3 linked regions of the Neodiprion lecontei genome follow. The protein of the gene in region 3 purifies or fractionates together with the protein of the main gene of each other region. This does not show direct contact. Links are inferred from orthologs where the notes say so. Each region holds a gene or a part of one and is shown on either strand. Other genes may lie near its edges. The genes, in order: intraflagellar transport protein 57 homolog, intraflagellar transport protein 46 homolog and intraflagellar transport protein 88 homolog.

Region 1 (5,174 bases), on a different chromosome or scaffold from region 3:
TTCAATCAGAACTATGAGTGAAAAAAAAAAAACAGAGAAAACAAAGAAAATGAATGCCCAGTTACGAATGTGTTAATATGGCGATTTACAAAAAACGTAAAGAACTTTTTTAAAATACAAAGTTTTGCAGGAATTATGGCTATTACACAGTATCGGAAGCTGTTTAGGGTTTGGTATCTTCTAAATAGTTACACTCTAAATACGAAAACTAATAATTTTTGTGACAAGTGCGCATAAAATAAGGATGTCTTGACGAGCGTAAAACACTAGTGCGTAGAAATTGACTTTTAAGCACTAGTTTCATCAAAATTTTAGTATATTCTATCCACTGCTACTAGACGCAACGGAATAAAATTTGGTAAAAGATAGGTAATCATAGATTTATAACTAAATTTAAAACTGCGAGTTCGGAACTTTGTCATAATTTAATTTACAAACCTAGTTTCGATGCTTGATGCATGGCTATAGTGTTTCACAGCAAAAACTTCGTTCATAACTCCTACAAGTGATCGGTTATCGTATAACTTTTATGTAAAATATGAGCGGCGAAAGACTGAGAATCATTAATTTAATAAATACATTTATGTCAAAGGAATGATAACAATTTATGCTGACTAGTTTATAAGTTGCGATGTGTCTTATTACTAACCGTGCAATGATCTTTACCTAGACACGGTTGTAGTTTCCGTTTATAGTTATAGCTTATCAACTATTTCGGTGGGATCTCAGGTACTGATAACGGTGGTGAACAAGGCACTATGATAGCGTCAAGGAAACGTCTTTCGGATTAATTAATAGTGGCTATGATCAATTTGTTTTCCGTTCTTTTTCACCCAGAGATTCAGCTACCGAAAAAATTTTCTTCAGACATATTATGGAACGAAACTAAATACTCAATAAGAGAAAATGAATAATATGCAGATATGCTGTTTGTAGTACTTCCATTTCTAATACCAAGTATGAAAAACCTAGGTAATAATCCAAAGACAGTAATATTAACTGATCGGATAGAAAAGTTCCCCCGCAAATCTTTCAGTCGCACACGAAAAATATGCACGAACTTTAGGTATCTATGACCTTGAATTTTCCTCAAATCATCAACGAGCTGCTTGTACTGTTCATATCTTCCTGAAGTTGAGTACGATCACGAACTCTGGTGCACATCAAGCTGTATTCAAGAACACCGATTCTGACGTTCATCTCCGAGATTTCGTTCTTCATTTTTGTAATCGTTTTTTTGATATTTATCAAGGGAGCTGCAGGAAGAAAGTTGAAAAATTTTTTTACATCCACACTCAACGATCCATAATTAACTAATTCAAATTGTTTAGTATTGAACTGCAATTGTTACTTACTTCCATCTGTCATGCTTGATCCTCTCTCATCCATTTCTCGCTTAACTTGCTCTAATTCGTCAGTTAATTTATTTAGAGTTCTCGTTCTCTCAGTCACTCCACCACTGACGTCTCTGTACTGTTCCTTCACTTTCGACATTTCCTCCTGATCACAGAGACAATGCCAAATGATGAAATTCAGTAAATACCTCTGTAGTCTTTATGGCTTGTGTGAACTTTATCACATTGTCTTAGATCACAGTAAATCCATTTGCTTACTTGCAATGTTTGAAATTCGTTTAGGACAGGCTCCAGTTGTCTGTTTACATACATTTCTCGTGTTTTTATCTTATCCAACGTACTTGCTATGTCGGAATGCAACCTCTCTAATTGGCTCTTTGTATTGCCAAGATTCGCATAAATGTTTGACCGATGTTGTTTCATTTGATCCAAGTGAGCTCTCCAGTCTCGGGAATCTGTAGATGATGAACTTTTTTTATTACGAAAGTTTTATATATTTCTGATACAGAAATTGAAATAAAAAACGTTTAACAACCAGGAAAGGTTTTGAGAAAAACCACGTCGCTATACATGAAATCAATCAATCAATTATTTGAATACTTACCAGTTTTTACAGTTACCTTCAGCTGAGGTAAGACTCTCTCTAATTCGAGTTTCCATTCTTCCATGTCTGTTTTAGACTCAAGGATATTCTCCGGCTTCTGAATGTCAAGCTACAAAATATTGTATTAAAAAAATTAGGATTTTTTTGCATTCAATTTTCCATGCACTTTTATTTTTTTTTAATCATAGCATTTTCGGTGAAATCATTTGAGAGGTAACAGAATGCATTTACAGTTTTTCTGTCGACCATCTAAATTGACGCTAATGTACAAATAAAAATTTGTCAAAGTCTGAATTAGTTTACTAATTACCATATTTTGTCCATATAATTTAGTTATGTCATCTACATGTAAAACGTCATCCTCGTCCTCCTCCTCATACTCAGCCAACATTTCCTCCTCAACTTTTTCCAGTATCAACTCCGCATCGTCATCTTCTATCTCAGGTTCCGGTGTAGGATCTTCTGGGGGTATTTCAACTCTGCATCAATAAAGACACTTGAAATATGCGATCTACTTTCATCCGTAGTGTTTCAAGGGAAACCACTTTGGGCTTTCGATTTGGCATGTTGACTATCATTCGTGATAACATTACATAGAATAAATGGAAGCATATAATTTAACGTATTTGTGAAATCTGAAAATTACAAAACGAAAGGCAGATCTTTGCAGGTTTGATTTTAAACTAGAGCACCCAAATACAAAATGATTAAGACCATGAATCAAACATTAACAATGCCCTTTGAAATAATAATGTAGGTATAATTCAAGCCTGTTCATATCATTCCTGCTTACTTTTTCCATTTGAAATTGACAATTCTGATAGCCTGATCAGCGAGGCAGTCCAATACATAAATAGCATGCTCGCCAGCGCCCTGCTTTAATTTGTTTGGAGGAAATTCGACGGCAACGTCGATAGCTCTGAGGTGATCGAGAATCATGGATATAGTTGAGTTTGGATCATCGTATTCCTGCGGCTGTTCAAAACTCGTTCCACTTTTCCTTATCAACCAGGCAGCAAGCGAAGTAAACATGTAAAACTGCTCCCCCGAATTGGTCGCAACAACAAAGTAATGCCTGTTGAATTAATATCGCATGGTGAAAAAATTACGCAGGCAAATGAGTAGGATCCTAGTTAGTAAGAAGACCGTACCTGTTTATAGGTTTCATTTTCATATTTTGTACGAATTCAGTGTCGTAATTGAGGATTTTCAACTTATCAATTAAATCCTCCATGCGTACGCTGGGCGCGTAAGCTGCGCTAGGCGCCGTCGCATCTTCAATTACGATCTTTGGTGTTTCCCGAAACATTTTCACCTGTTATCAAAATATGCGGACGTTCCTGATCGTTTTGCTTTAACCAAGTCCGTGGCTTTATCTGGCTGTCAGTAAATGTATGACAAGTAAACAAACTCGCGTCATTTGAGGATCGGGATCGCAACTTCGGTGGCTCTCTTTAGCATGAAGATAATGAAGTTCGCAACGTAATCCGCGTCGGTAAGACTCCTTTCTGTCGGATTTGTCGGTTTCACGCTTACCACACAAAATATCACTGACAGTGGAGCGCGTACGATTGCTTAGAGCATACACCATGGAGAAAGCTTGGCAGCGGAAAAAGCATGGAAAGTGTCCCCGAGTGCGAAAGAGAGGAAAGCTAAGACTCCATGTGTAACGTCCGACCGGAACGTCCGTATGTTTTATCGATTATTATTACTGCATGTTACTTTTATCAACTAACCAAACTCGAAGTACGAGAATCTTGTAACCATAAGAAATTAAAACAACTGTCTAACTATTTGGAATACCCCTAGATGGAAATAACTATGAAATTCACTAGCCAAGGCTTACAAACCATGTTACGAGATCTTCGTACTACAGAGAACTATAATATTATTATACGTTATTATATATCACTATCACATTAACACTATAATTAACTAACACAATTATACCCAATTATTATATAGCACTCAGCAATGCCATTTGTGCATTCGGAGCTGAGAGCTATACTTAAGCAACATACGCTTTACTATATAGCCTGGAGTATAGAAGACTGTAAAACCATAGATAAATGCATAACCAATATAATGTAAAGATAGCACTGCTGCAATAACCCATAAAACCAGAGACTGCAAAACCATCAAACCGTGAATGCTAATTACCCAGCATGAACTATACCTTCTTCCGCAACGCCGTATTGTAGGCAACACGCGCAACGTTTTGAAGGCAATGCAGATCTCCAATGTGGAGCCATACAGAGCCTTACCTAGAGAATACATTAGGAAACTTACCGACGAAACGAAAACGTTCTAGAAGCTTCCAAGCCGATTTATATCAATATAAGAATTAACAACTACAGAAGGGAATCATATACAAAAGCACACATGTAAACCTGCTCTAAAGCTATGAATCATCAAATTACTAGGTATTCTAAACCTGTTAAGATAGTTATAACACAAACAACTAAAGATATTCGCAGCAGCGTGATTCTAATAATGTTAAACAAATAACAAACTATGTTCATAAACAATTGCTATTGCACTCCAGGTTAACAACGACAGTAGTCGACTTTAATACATATGCAATTCTATATAGATACAACTATAAAACTAACAACGACAGTAGTCGACTATAATACATATACAATTCTATATAGATATAACTAATAAACTAACAAACGACAGGTAACCAAAATGAAATATGGGCTTTGTAACGAGCAAGATAGCAAAAACAGTAAGAGATAGACAGGTAGTTAAGTGGCTGAGGGGCGCCAGAAAGGGGGCTGGCGCCACAAAGGGGGCTGGCGCCACAAAGGGGGACTGGCGACACAACGAAAAGCTCACGCAGTTCGGAGAACTACGGAACCAAGTCCACGCACCTACACCACCGCACCAAGCAGCGATATACCATACGTAAAAACCTACAATATAGTAATAGCTAAAGAAATAAGATCACAGGCGTGCATGCGGCGAAGATGTCGTGCCCTAATTAGAATTCCTAGAAAAGAGGGGAGGTGCGCAAAGGCGACCAAAAAACTAGAGAGGGGGATCGTTCTGCGCAACGATCGACCCCTATAAAAACGGCGACCGATCACTCGATCGCTCTCTTGTGTTTCTACCTCCAGATTCGTCATCTAGTTCCGGTACAGTCTCGCGGTAAAATCCTTTAGCCTTTTGCATTAAAACTTTCATACAACGTTACTCTGCCCAAAAGTTCA
Region 2 (4,782 bases), on a different chromosome or scaffold from region 3:
TATGCCAATTAGCATTTTTCTAAGCGAGCTAAGCCTGCAGTTGATCAATATTTGTTGACTTTTAAAGGGTTGAAAATGATATATAATAATATAAGATGCAATTTCACTACGTTACGTTATGCCAGACTTTGGAATTTTATCGATTTATCAATATTGTGAATAATTGAATACGTTCAAACCTCAGGTGAACCCATCACTTAAACGACATCATCGGTAAATTCAAACGTAAATTATTACATCATTTGCGAAACACAATTCGATCTCGCGAGTGCCGAGTAAGCGATGGTTACCTGTCGCGATGCTCATTCCACTTTTCGCAACGTGCAAAATTTCTAACTTCGAGTAAGCTACGGTACATTAAATTGCGAAAAAAAATTATTGGACTGCAAGTGAAGCACGTTGTGATCGTGAATGAGCCTATCCATGCAGCTAAGAAATCGAAGATTTGTGTAACAATTGTTACCGCCACGCCACGTGACAGAGGAATCCCAGGGAAATACCCATAACCTAACACATGCAAACTCACCAACGTTGCCGAGAAAGGGAAAAGTTACTCGGAAGTCTCAGGCTAAATCTGTGAAAAACAAAATATAACACTTGAATTAATTGAGGAAATTGGCTTTTCAGACTTCAAATTAATTATTACTGTTGTCTAGTTTCATATTTATGCATTGCATGTTATACAAGAACAAAAGTTCGGCACTAAATTCACCACCTTGAATTATCAATCAATAATTAAAATAAGTATTGTTACCTCGACTCTGGGCTGCTCGACACTACATGTAGTAGTTGTTGTAGCATCTCAGGTTTATTGGTGAAGCGACGCACTTGTCACGTCATTTAGATCTTCACTCATCACTTGTAATCCAAAAATCCGCACTGCAATAATACTTGATTCTACACTCACTTTTTGTACTGTTGCTGTCTGTTTCGACCGACTGAATAAACTTGCTAACAATGCAACTGCGCATTTGCCGAAAATCGGCCAAAGAAATAATAAAATTGACACACGACTCATCGAAAAAAAAGTAGACTTCACTGAAATCTAAAGTTATACAAAACAATGAAAACACGAGACACGAAACACACTGATCGAACAACGCGACACAACTTGATCAACACGGTTTTAATGTTGAGCTGATACCGGTAGCCCGTGATTTCGTCCCGATTGCTCGGAAACGACTGATGCCGCATGGCGCTCAGAAGAGTCTTGTATCAATTCTCTGAGTGACGGAAGATAATAATTCTCCCTCCCTCTTTGTTACTCTTCCCATGGAGTGGGGGTTGATTGAGTTGAATCGCGAATATCTCGAGAACGGTGATAGATACGGCAAAACAAACGAAATTTTGGAGGTCACCTGAAGGCGAAATGACGTACCTGTCTGTGTCAGGACGTACCATCCTGATTCTCATCCAGACCTGTTCGCGTTCTGAGAAATGTTCTGCAAACTCAGCGATGCCGGAACGGCGGGCCGCGAATCTTGCGTCGCAAAAAATCGCGGACCCAGTTCGGAACCTAGAAGCCTGACAATAATGTGGAATGATAACTGATGATAAATAAAACCGTCTGTACGAGGTTGAGATTATCGAACGATGAGAATGAATATTTGCTGTTGGACTGTTGAGATTGCGAACTTTTTTCCGCTGCCAAACCGTTCATCGTGCTTTTATGGTCGATTCTTGGGGCGAAATATTTACCGCCAGATCAGAATTGAATGACACTTTCCGACGTAGCTTCTTGTTTTGTACCCGTTTTTCAGTTCCTCTACGTGGCGCTAGTAGACTTCTGACACGCTCACCAGAGATGAGTAGGGAGATCTCTAACGCTCGGCTTTTCGTGATACCAGCTAGGTTGGAGCGTCGACGCGACATCTAGGCGGCCATGCACCGAAGGCGGCCCACAATCGTGTGCCAGGCATGAAATTAGGCGCGCTCGCAGAGTATATATAGATATACTCGGTCGATCGAGCAAGTGGTTGCCAATCGCATCCTTGTCCCCGCTGGCACCGATGTTTCCAGGAGTGCAAGAATTGGGATTGTTTTTGTTTCAATTATGAATGTCAGCGAATAAAAGTATCTCCAGATTTGATAAATTTTGGATTCAATTAGCGGACGCTGAACCAAAATAATTAACCATTCCCAGCCCGAATACATTTTTTTTTTTTTCGATCAAATGTCTGGAGGATAGCAGAGAACTAGAACACCATGGCAACGTTTGTAAACAACATACCACAATATCTACCAGTGGCAGTTGGTTGCTCCGTGGCTGATCCTTACCCTCCGCTGTCAGCCGTTTAGAATAAGCACATCCACAGGAGTATCGCGTATCATTTATTTTCCAGCCCACTAACCGAACAAACAATGGACATTAAGGATAGCAGTGAGGACGAAGAAGCACAAAATATATCTGCATTTAGCCAATTTGATGAAAGTATAGAGGTACGCAACGCCGAAGAAATCAAGAGCCCTGTGAACACAGCTATGTCGACATTGAAACGAAGTCCAAAAAATACCGGTAGCCACAGCTCATTGAAGATTGGGGTTGGAAGTCTACGAGGCAATCTCAGTCCCCCACAGCCTTCAAGGTATTTTAATCTTATCCATGCTCTGTGGGTTTTTGTAATCAACGCGACATCTGTAATCACCACTTATCAACTGTCCCAAGGGTGGAAAACTTTCGTGCTTTAGTTTATTAAAGTTGAATCCAGTCTTCTTTTGTTTTCAAAGATAGATTTGAAACACCGTAAATGTTTGAAAGATTAAAGTAAGAATAATATTTATACATTCCTTTGGCATCTTATTTAATTTTTGTGTCGGTAGACGGTTAAGTACATTAAAATCCTATAAGCATATATGGAATATTCAAAAATTGTTCCACTAGATATTCGAACAAGCTTACGGACCACGTTGAACCCACATCGTTTGGCAAGTCAAGCGCACTCATGAATGATGCTTCTGATAGTGAAGAGACGGATGACGATGATATACAAGGTGGAACAACCAAAGGTTTTGAAACTTATGATCCAAAGGAATTTGAAGATCTTCACGTATCAGCTGAAATCAAAGAACTTTTCGAGAATATCACAAGGTGAGTTGGTCAGGTTTTTGCCTTTCTATGTTTTTCAGTGGGCATCTGTAAAAAAAGAAATGCCAAATATTTCCTTGTACTGAAATAACGTACTTAGGATAACATTATTATTCGTTTCCAAGAGGTAGCATGAACGAGATCTATTTGCGGAACCTCTTGAATGTATAATTTTTAACTTTTCGTCTTTTGACGAGCCATTGTGTCGAACATCTATTAACAACTACTTGTATTTTATGTACAGATTCTCACCGCAGAAAATTGACCTTGACTACAAGCTCATTCCGTTCGTGCCCGACTACATTCCAGCAGTCGGCGATATTGATGCTTTCATTAAAGTTCCGAAACCCGATGGTACCGCTGATAAAGTAGGGCTAGTCGTTCTGGATGAGCCCTGCGCCAATCAATCGGAGCCTGCCGTTCTGCATTTGCAATTGCGAAGTCATAGTACAAGTTCAGGACCTGTGAAACAGGCAGTGATCAAGCGCATTGACGATCCGGAAAAAAATTCCAAGTCTATTGAAAAGTGGATTAACGATATGAACCAGTTGCACACAAATAGGCACCCGCTTACAGTACATCTCTCAAAACCAACAGTTGACATTGATACGCTCATGCAACAATGGTCTGCAGACGTAGACGAACGATTGGAAAATACTTCGGTTGAATTGTCACAGCTAGATTGTGACTTGCCCCGTCTCGTCGACATTGCTTGTACCCTCGTCGATATTCCAGTCTACCCAGATGCCAGAATGGAAGCACTGCACACGATGTTTACCTTGTTTTTAGAAATTAGAGATCATCAATATTAATTCTATCGCAGTAGACATTGAATAATAGTAATAATTTCTAAAATTAGATTTTTTTTTTTGTTTCAGATCACTCTAATCCTTTGTTGCACAGTGGTACGTACGTACAACCTATATTCCATGGCTCTGGCGTTGCCTAAGCTCCTTGTAACGTCATTTATGGGTGAAACTTACTTTCTATACGTTGTTAGGGGACTTAAAAATGCATGTGTAACATCAATAAATAATCATTTAGGATGTAAAGACAAATAAATACGATTTTGAAAATTTACATCATTCTCATAATATTTCTAAAGGTTAATTATCATAATTGATTCTTATATATAATATATATAATGAGAAAAAAGAAGACGATTAAGTTTTCTCGTTTTTTGATGAAACTTATTCAAGCGTCGATGCATTTTGAACTTCCAATTGGTCCATTTGGCTACCTCAATACTTCAGCAGCCGATCCTCGCAAGTAGCCTGTACCACATTCCGGAATAGGATGTCATCATCATACAGCATTTTCACTACCCAAGCTGACAAGACAACGCTGCACGTACCATTCTCATCTACAGCCACTGGTTGTCCGAATCGCGTCTCCATCCTCCGGATGCTTGTCATCTGATAATTTTTGTAGACCTTCAGGTCCATTTGGACGCAGATTTCTCGACGCGAAGTCAAAAAACTTGTCAGCCTAAATTCCGAGAAATCGCTCAGGGTGGTTGCAAGCTTTCCAACGTCTTACCTCGCCTTGAAACCTCTCGATCATTAGTCATCAGAGGGATGGAAGAATCTTCCCGAGGAATGTGTCTCTTTATTTTAGCTTATGAGAGTCTCAATTTCTTTCTTTTGTTGAAATAGACCCATCCTATTGCACGCCTTCTTTTTATAAGTTGTACAATT
Region 3 (4,851 bases):
GGTTAAAGACGTGTTTGAAATCTTACAATGGGGCGTTTTGCGTAGCTGGCTTTAATCGCGTCTTGATATAATTCATCCTGGTCCAAATCCTTAGTGCTGAATAACGAAGGATAGTCATTGTATCCAGAATAAATATCATCGTCATGTATGAGCGTCGTCATTGCTGCCCGTTCTTCTTGAACAATCCGATTATCTCTGTTGCGTATTTCACTTGCAAACCGCAGTTACCTCGATTTTGGAGGTTAGGTCGTAGCTCTCTGCAAAACTATTTAATCGCGTTATTAATTCACGTTGATTTACCGCGTAAAACTTCGCAAGATAATCCATCCACCTATCAACCCCGTAAACAAAGTATTTTTAACCGGTTGACGTATTATTATCAAACTTTAAAACAACAATTTTGCCACAGTAAATTTCTAATTCACATTTGACAGCATCACTCGCGTCGCTGGCAACTGGCAACTGGCCGCTGGCGTTTACAATTTGTCACTCGATCAACGCGACATCTAACAATAACAAAGGATTAAATACCACCTCGCTCACATTCAAATTATATTAGACATTCGAAAATTAGAATTAGATTATAATTAAAAAAAAAATCCAGGGAAGTCTTTATAATGGACTAATTACCTGCCCGATTTAATTTCGCCTTTAGGAAACCTACCAAATTTCATTAGTTTTCCTGTATCTATCACCATTCTAGAGATATTATTAAATCACAAGAAGGTCATTTATGCAATGTATTAGGACTTGTTGAATGAATTAAAGAATATACAGATATATATATAAGTTATTTAACTTTATTATTATAAATGATTAAGCATTAATTATCCATTGATTTATAACGTTTAACAGACGTAATTATACATAACGTCCCATTAAAGTCTTCTGTTATTATTGTTGTTGACTGTCAAATTTGTTCTAGTTATAACGTTTTATAAGATCGACATAAAAAAAGAAGATTATTACAAGTGCACGTGATCGATTTTTATTATTATTAATTAAGTGAAAAGCATGTCAACCCAAAAAGTACAGATGATTTACTAATGATTCATTGTTCATCTTTGAGAAAAATTGTCAACATTAGCTCTTACCATCGCTCTGTTGGAAACGTGTTATTATTTGCAGAATGTGGTATATGTTTTGTGCTTAGAATGCGAGCGAGGTGGTATTTAATCCTTGTTATGTTCGATGTCGTGTTTACCACAGGACAGATCTCTTCCTTCTTCTTACCAGGCCATCAGAGGCAGTCAACTATCTCGGTAGTCAGTCATTATTTCTGATCATGAGCAACAGAGAATATGGCAGGTCTTAGAACACACTATAAGAAAAAAGCGGCTGGATTCGGCAATTTAGAAGAGTCGAGAATTATAAAATCTTTTGAAAAAGAAAATGCAAGAAAACTAAGGCGTTTGGACGCATATAATGTTAATAGAAAAATCATCGGAGCAGGTTCTCCGGTTACATCCAGCATCGGGCGCATGGAAAACGTACAAGGTAATAGTCTAGTACATTTTTCTATTCGGTAACATTTTCTCTTTCGTTAGCTAACTCGTCATTGTTCCTAAAATATCAACCGTTATCACTGTTTATTACCGTTTTATTACCATTGTCTCGCTTGAATTAATAACTATTGATCTCTCGCAGCTACCCTTTTAGTTCAACCATGTAAAGGAAACAAATAGCATAATACTACAAGCATAGCGGGACCTTTTTTACGAACAGTCAGCTGACAGAAATATTATACAGAAATAAAAGCATTACATTTGATACAAGTACTCAACTTAGCCCACCGTCACCACTAATGTCCATGGTATAATTCTGAGTACAACTCGGTATAATCATGGGCAGAGGTAGAAAATTTAGACCTAGGGGTTTGCACTGTTTTTTCATTTTTCAGAATATCACTTAGTTTGATGTACTTACGATTTTGTATTGAAATTTTCTTATCAAAAAATAATTTTATCTTGAAATCCTACTAACACATTGGCAAGATTTTACCATCAATGGAATAAAAAATTTTCACAGATGGACCTAAAAATCAAATCGTCCAAGAAGATAGACGAATGAAATTGTTGAGATGGAGGGTAAAAAGAGATTTGCAAAAAAAAATTCAAAAAGCAATGAAACCACCAGTATTGTGTGTTGGAGTTTGTCACGATAAACTAAATTCCTCTATGTTCCTACACCAAAGTCTGTCAGCATTTAAACCTATCAAGTCAACGATGTCACCCAGAATCACTAGAGCCACTGCAAAAAGGCTGGCATCGGAAGCTTGTATGAAGGCACGTTCACCTGATGCTACTATTATTTTAAGGAATAAAAAAATAATCACAAAAGTTTTGGACCAAGGGATCGTACACAAAGCTTCAAAAAGTATTGAAATAATAAATATTCCAGGCAGTTCATTTGCACCAGAAAATTATGCGTTTAGACCGCCGGCCTGTTTACCGTCCCTGCATTTGCTTGATCAGGCAGCATTGAAACAGCCGAAAAAAGATCTTTACACGACGGTTACTCCTAAATTCTGCTCTCCTTGTATTCTCTATGCTCGAAAGAAAAAAGCTTTAAGACAAAAACTGCTGTAGCAACCCAACACTAAGACTGATACTGTGCTAATGCAATCTGAACGTGATGAATTACTAACTGCTGCAGCGTTTGAAAAAAATGAAGAGCGAACACCACTATATTTTAGAAAAGTCACAGACGGAGAAGTTATGAGACTAAAAGCTCTCTGTTGGGATTGGATGATGATAACATCTGCACCTGATACCCCAGAAGATGCTCAATGTATGATAAATCACGTAATTGGTCGATCAAATCTGTTGATCAACAAAGAGGTAAAACTATTTCGAAAACTCGTAACCAAATGTGAAACTGGTTCGCAAGAAGAATTGGTAACCAATGACGACTTGCAATGTTTCTGGGACATCATTTACATGCAACTCGAAGACTGTCACTCTAGGTTTGGCAAATTGAATCAATTAAAAGAAAGAAATTGGCAAGAGGCTGAATAAAAAAAAATGAAAGAGAAAATATGTTAAATACTTACTGCGTTATTTTTATTTTTTATTATTTATCGCATGAATTTATTTTTTATACTATCGCAAGAATTATTTATTGCATGAATTTATTTTTTATAATAATGACAAGAGTAAGCATCCACATTTTGATTTACAATTATACTGTTTGGCTAATCGATCAAACTGTGAAAATGTAATTAAATTCCTTAAGTTTATTTGAATTTCAATGCCTTACTAATTTATCTCATTTATACTCTGTTCATTATCATCACAACACAAAATTTCTTTGCAAAAGTTTTATATTATAAGCAAGTCGATTTAAATTCTAAGACTTTTCTGTAAAAAAGTATTCATCAATAAATCGTGTCATATTAAACATGTTGCGTTGTACGCCATTAGGCCTCACTATACAACCAATGCGTTGCATGATAATAATACAAAAACATCAGTATTATATTTTTGTAAGTGAACGTTACAAGACGGTCCACGATCATATATAATTTCTTTATAAAAATCACGTTCCACTCCTGAATTCAATTCCGTTCCCGGAAATGCATTTTTTTTTTTTTATATATATATTTATTCGAAAATCATGTTCGAGCAAGTAATACAAGTTTGACTGTAATTATGAGCAATCAGAAAGCAATATTTTGGCATTAAAATTTTCAAGAAATTCGAAGGTCGGACGCCAACTTCACATAGGTATCAACATAACCGCAAGGAGACGCCACGCATCCCGAAAGAAATACCATTGGACAAAATGGCATGAATGTGACAGAGAGACCCAACTCGCATGATTTTACCGTAGCCTATTTCCGTGACTAAAAGCGAAGAAAGTAAATAAATATGGAATAAATCATACGATAATAATGAGAGTAATTGCGGTAGTCAATATTTTCACATATCTTTTAATTTTATACCAATAAAAAAAAATACTGACGAAAGAATAAAAACTTGAATGAATTTCGAATTTCCCTCTCCTGCATGAACCAAGTCAAATGACAAAATGATAAACAAATTTTCGATTATGTTTTGAAGACATACGAAGCGGGGAAAACAATTAAATTCATATTTAGCAAATTATCGTATGATTGGTATTCGAGAAGTTTATTCGGCAATAAAAGGTTGCTATTTTGGACGATATTCATAGCTGATTTGAGCATAGAGTAGTCCTCTTTCTTCTGCGGGTTTGGCATGGTGATGCAGTGCTCTTTTCATTTTCATTAAAGTTGAACATACTTGTTTATTCATCATCTAATTGGAGTTAATAACTAAAATATGCCGAAGAATAAAGGTAAGTCAGAGTATTAGCAAGTTTTTAAAAATCATTTGAAGTCGAAGAACCCATAAATTAACCTTCCATCAAAATCGAATGACTGGCACGATTTATCGAACAATGTGGTTAAGTTTGGTATATAACCTGCCAGTGTCATTCTGGCGTTAAAAATAGTCGATGCACCTTGATAAAAAAAAAAATGCATAATTTTTTCTCCTCTAATGTCGTCATCGACAATGACGCTCGTGATGAGTGATATATTCCGTGTTTGTGTTATTAGGAAAGGGAGGTAAAAACAGGAGAAGAGGTAAGAACGAGAATGAAACTGAAAAGAGAGAGCTGGTATTCAAGGAAGATGGCCAAGGTAAGTAAAAACACGCACGTTCATGATATGCCTTATGACACAGGCCTATTTACTTTTGCAAGCAAGCTAATCTATCCGATATATTATTATTCTTCAACTTATGTTTCGACATTTTACAAGACAAATTGATCGGTGACTCAAAGAAATGTTATGAACTTTGCACAATATTTTTTTTCATGAGCAAAATA

Evidence for each region.
Region 1: the proteins of intraflagellar transport protein 88 homolog (region 3) and intraflagellar transport protein 57 homolog purify together in Homo sapiens (affinity purification with mass spectrometry; 3 studies listed by BioGRID and IntAct, counting the BioPlex papers as one, with this or other methods). This does not show direct contact. The link is inferred for Neodiprion lecontei from reciprocal best matches to the Homo sapiens genes IFT88 and IFT57.
Region 2: the proteins of intraflagellar transport protein 88 homolog (region 3) and intraflagellar transport protein 46 homolog purify together in Homo sapiens (affinity purification with mass spectrometry; 3 studies listed by BioGRID and IntAct, with this or other methods). This does not show direct contact. The link is inferred for Neodiprion lecontei from reciprocal best matches to the Homo sapiens genes IFT88 and IFT46.

What each region holds. Positions count from the first base shown.
Region 1 is NC_060262.1:42,131,566-42,136,739, forward strand, and holds intraflagellar transport protein 57 homolog, read right to left. Parts: upstream 3,569-5,174; 5' UTR 3,269-3,568; coding exon 3,111-3,268; intron 3,035-3,110; coding exon 2,753-3,034; intron 2,439-2,752; coding exon 2,270-2,438; intron 2,069-2,269; coding exon 1,960-2,068; intron 1,811-1,959; coding exon 1,614-1,810; intron 1,501-1,613; coding exon 1,356-1,500; intron 1,257-1,355; coding exon 1,090-1,256; 3' UTR 552-1,089; downstream 1-551. UniProt on the Homo sapiens protein: Required for the formation of cilia. Plays an indirect role in sonic hedgehog signaling, cilia being required for all activity of the hedgehog pathway.
Region 2 is NC_060263.1:22,368,094-22,372,875, forward strand, and holds intraflagellar transport protein 46 homolog, read left to right. Parts: upstream 1-1,804; 5' UTR 1,805-2,361; coding exon 2,362-2,585; intron 2,586-2,784; exon of another isoform or gene 2,785-2,881; coding exon 2,882-3,088; exon of another isoform or gene 3,089-3,133; intron 3,134-3,329; coding exon 3,330-3,897; 3' UTR 3,898-4,165; downstream 4,166-4,782. UniProt on the Homo sapiens protein: Forms part of a complex involved in intraflagellar transport (IFT), the bi-directional movement of particles required for the assembly, maintenance and functioning of primary cilia. May play a role in chondrocyte maturation and skeletogenesis.
Region 3 is NC_060260.1:5,205,571-5,210,421, forward strand, and holds the start of intraflagellar transport protein 88 homolog, read right to left. Parts: upstream 3,091-4,851; 5' UTR 3,053-3,090; exon of another isoform or gene 2,589-3,052; coding exon of another isoform or gene 2,029-2,588; intron 1,498-2,028; coding exon of another isoform or gene 1,302-1,497; intron 1,179-1,301; exon of another isoform or gene 1,095-1,178; intron 796-1,094; exon of another isoform or gene 266-795; 5' UTR 162-265; coding exon 27-161; intron 1-26. Other genes in the region: uncharacterized protein LOC124295468, read left to right, coding at 1,302-1,497, 2,029-2,588; eukaryotic translation initiation factor 1A, X-chromosomal, read left to right, coding at 4,302-4,317, 4,580-4,663. UniProt on the Homo sapiens protein: Positively regulates primary cilium biogenesis. Also involved in autophagy since it is required for trafficking of ATG16L and the expansion of the autophagic compartment.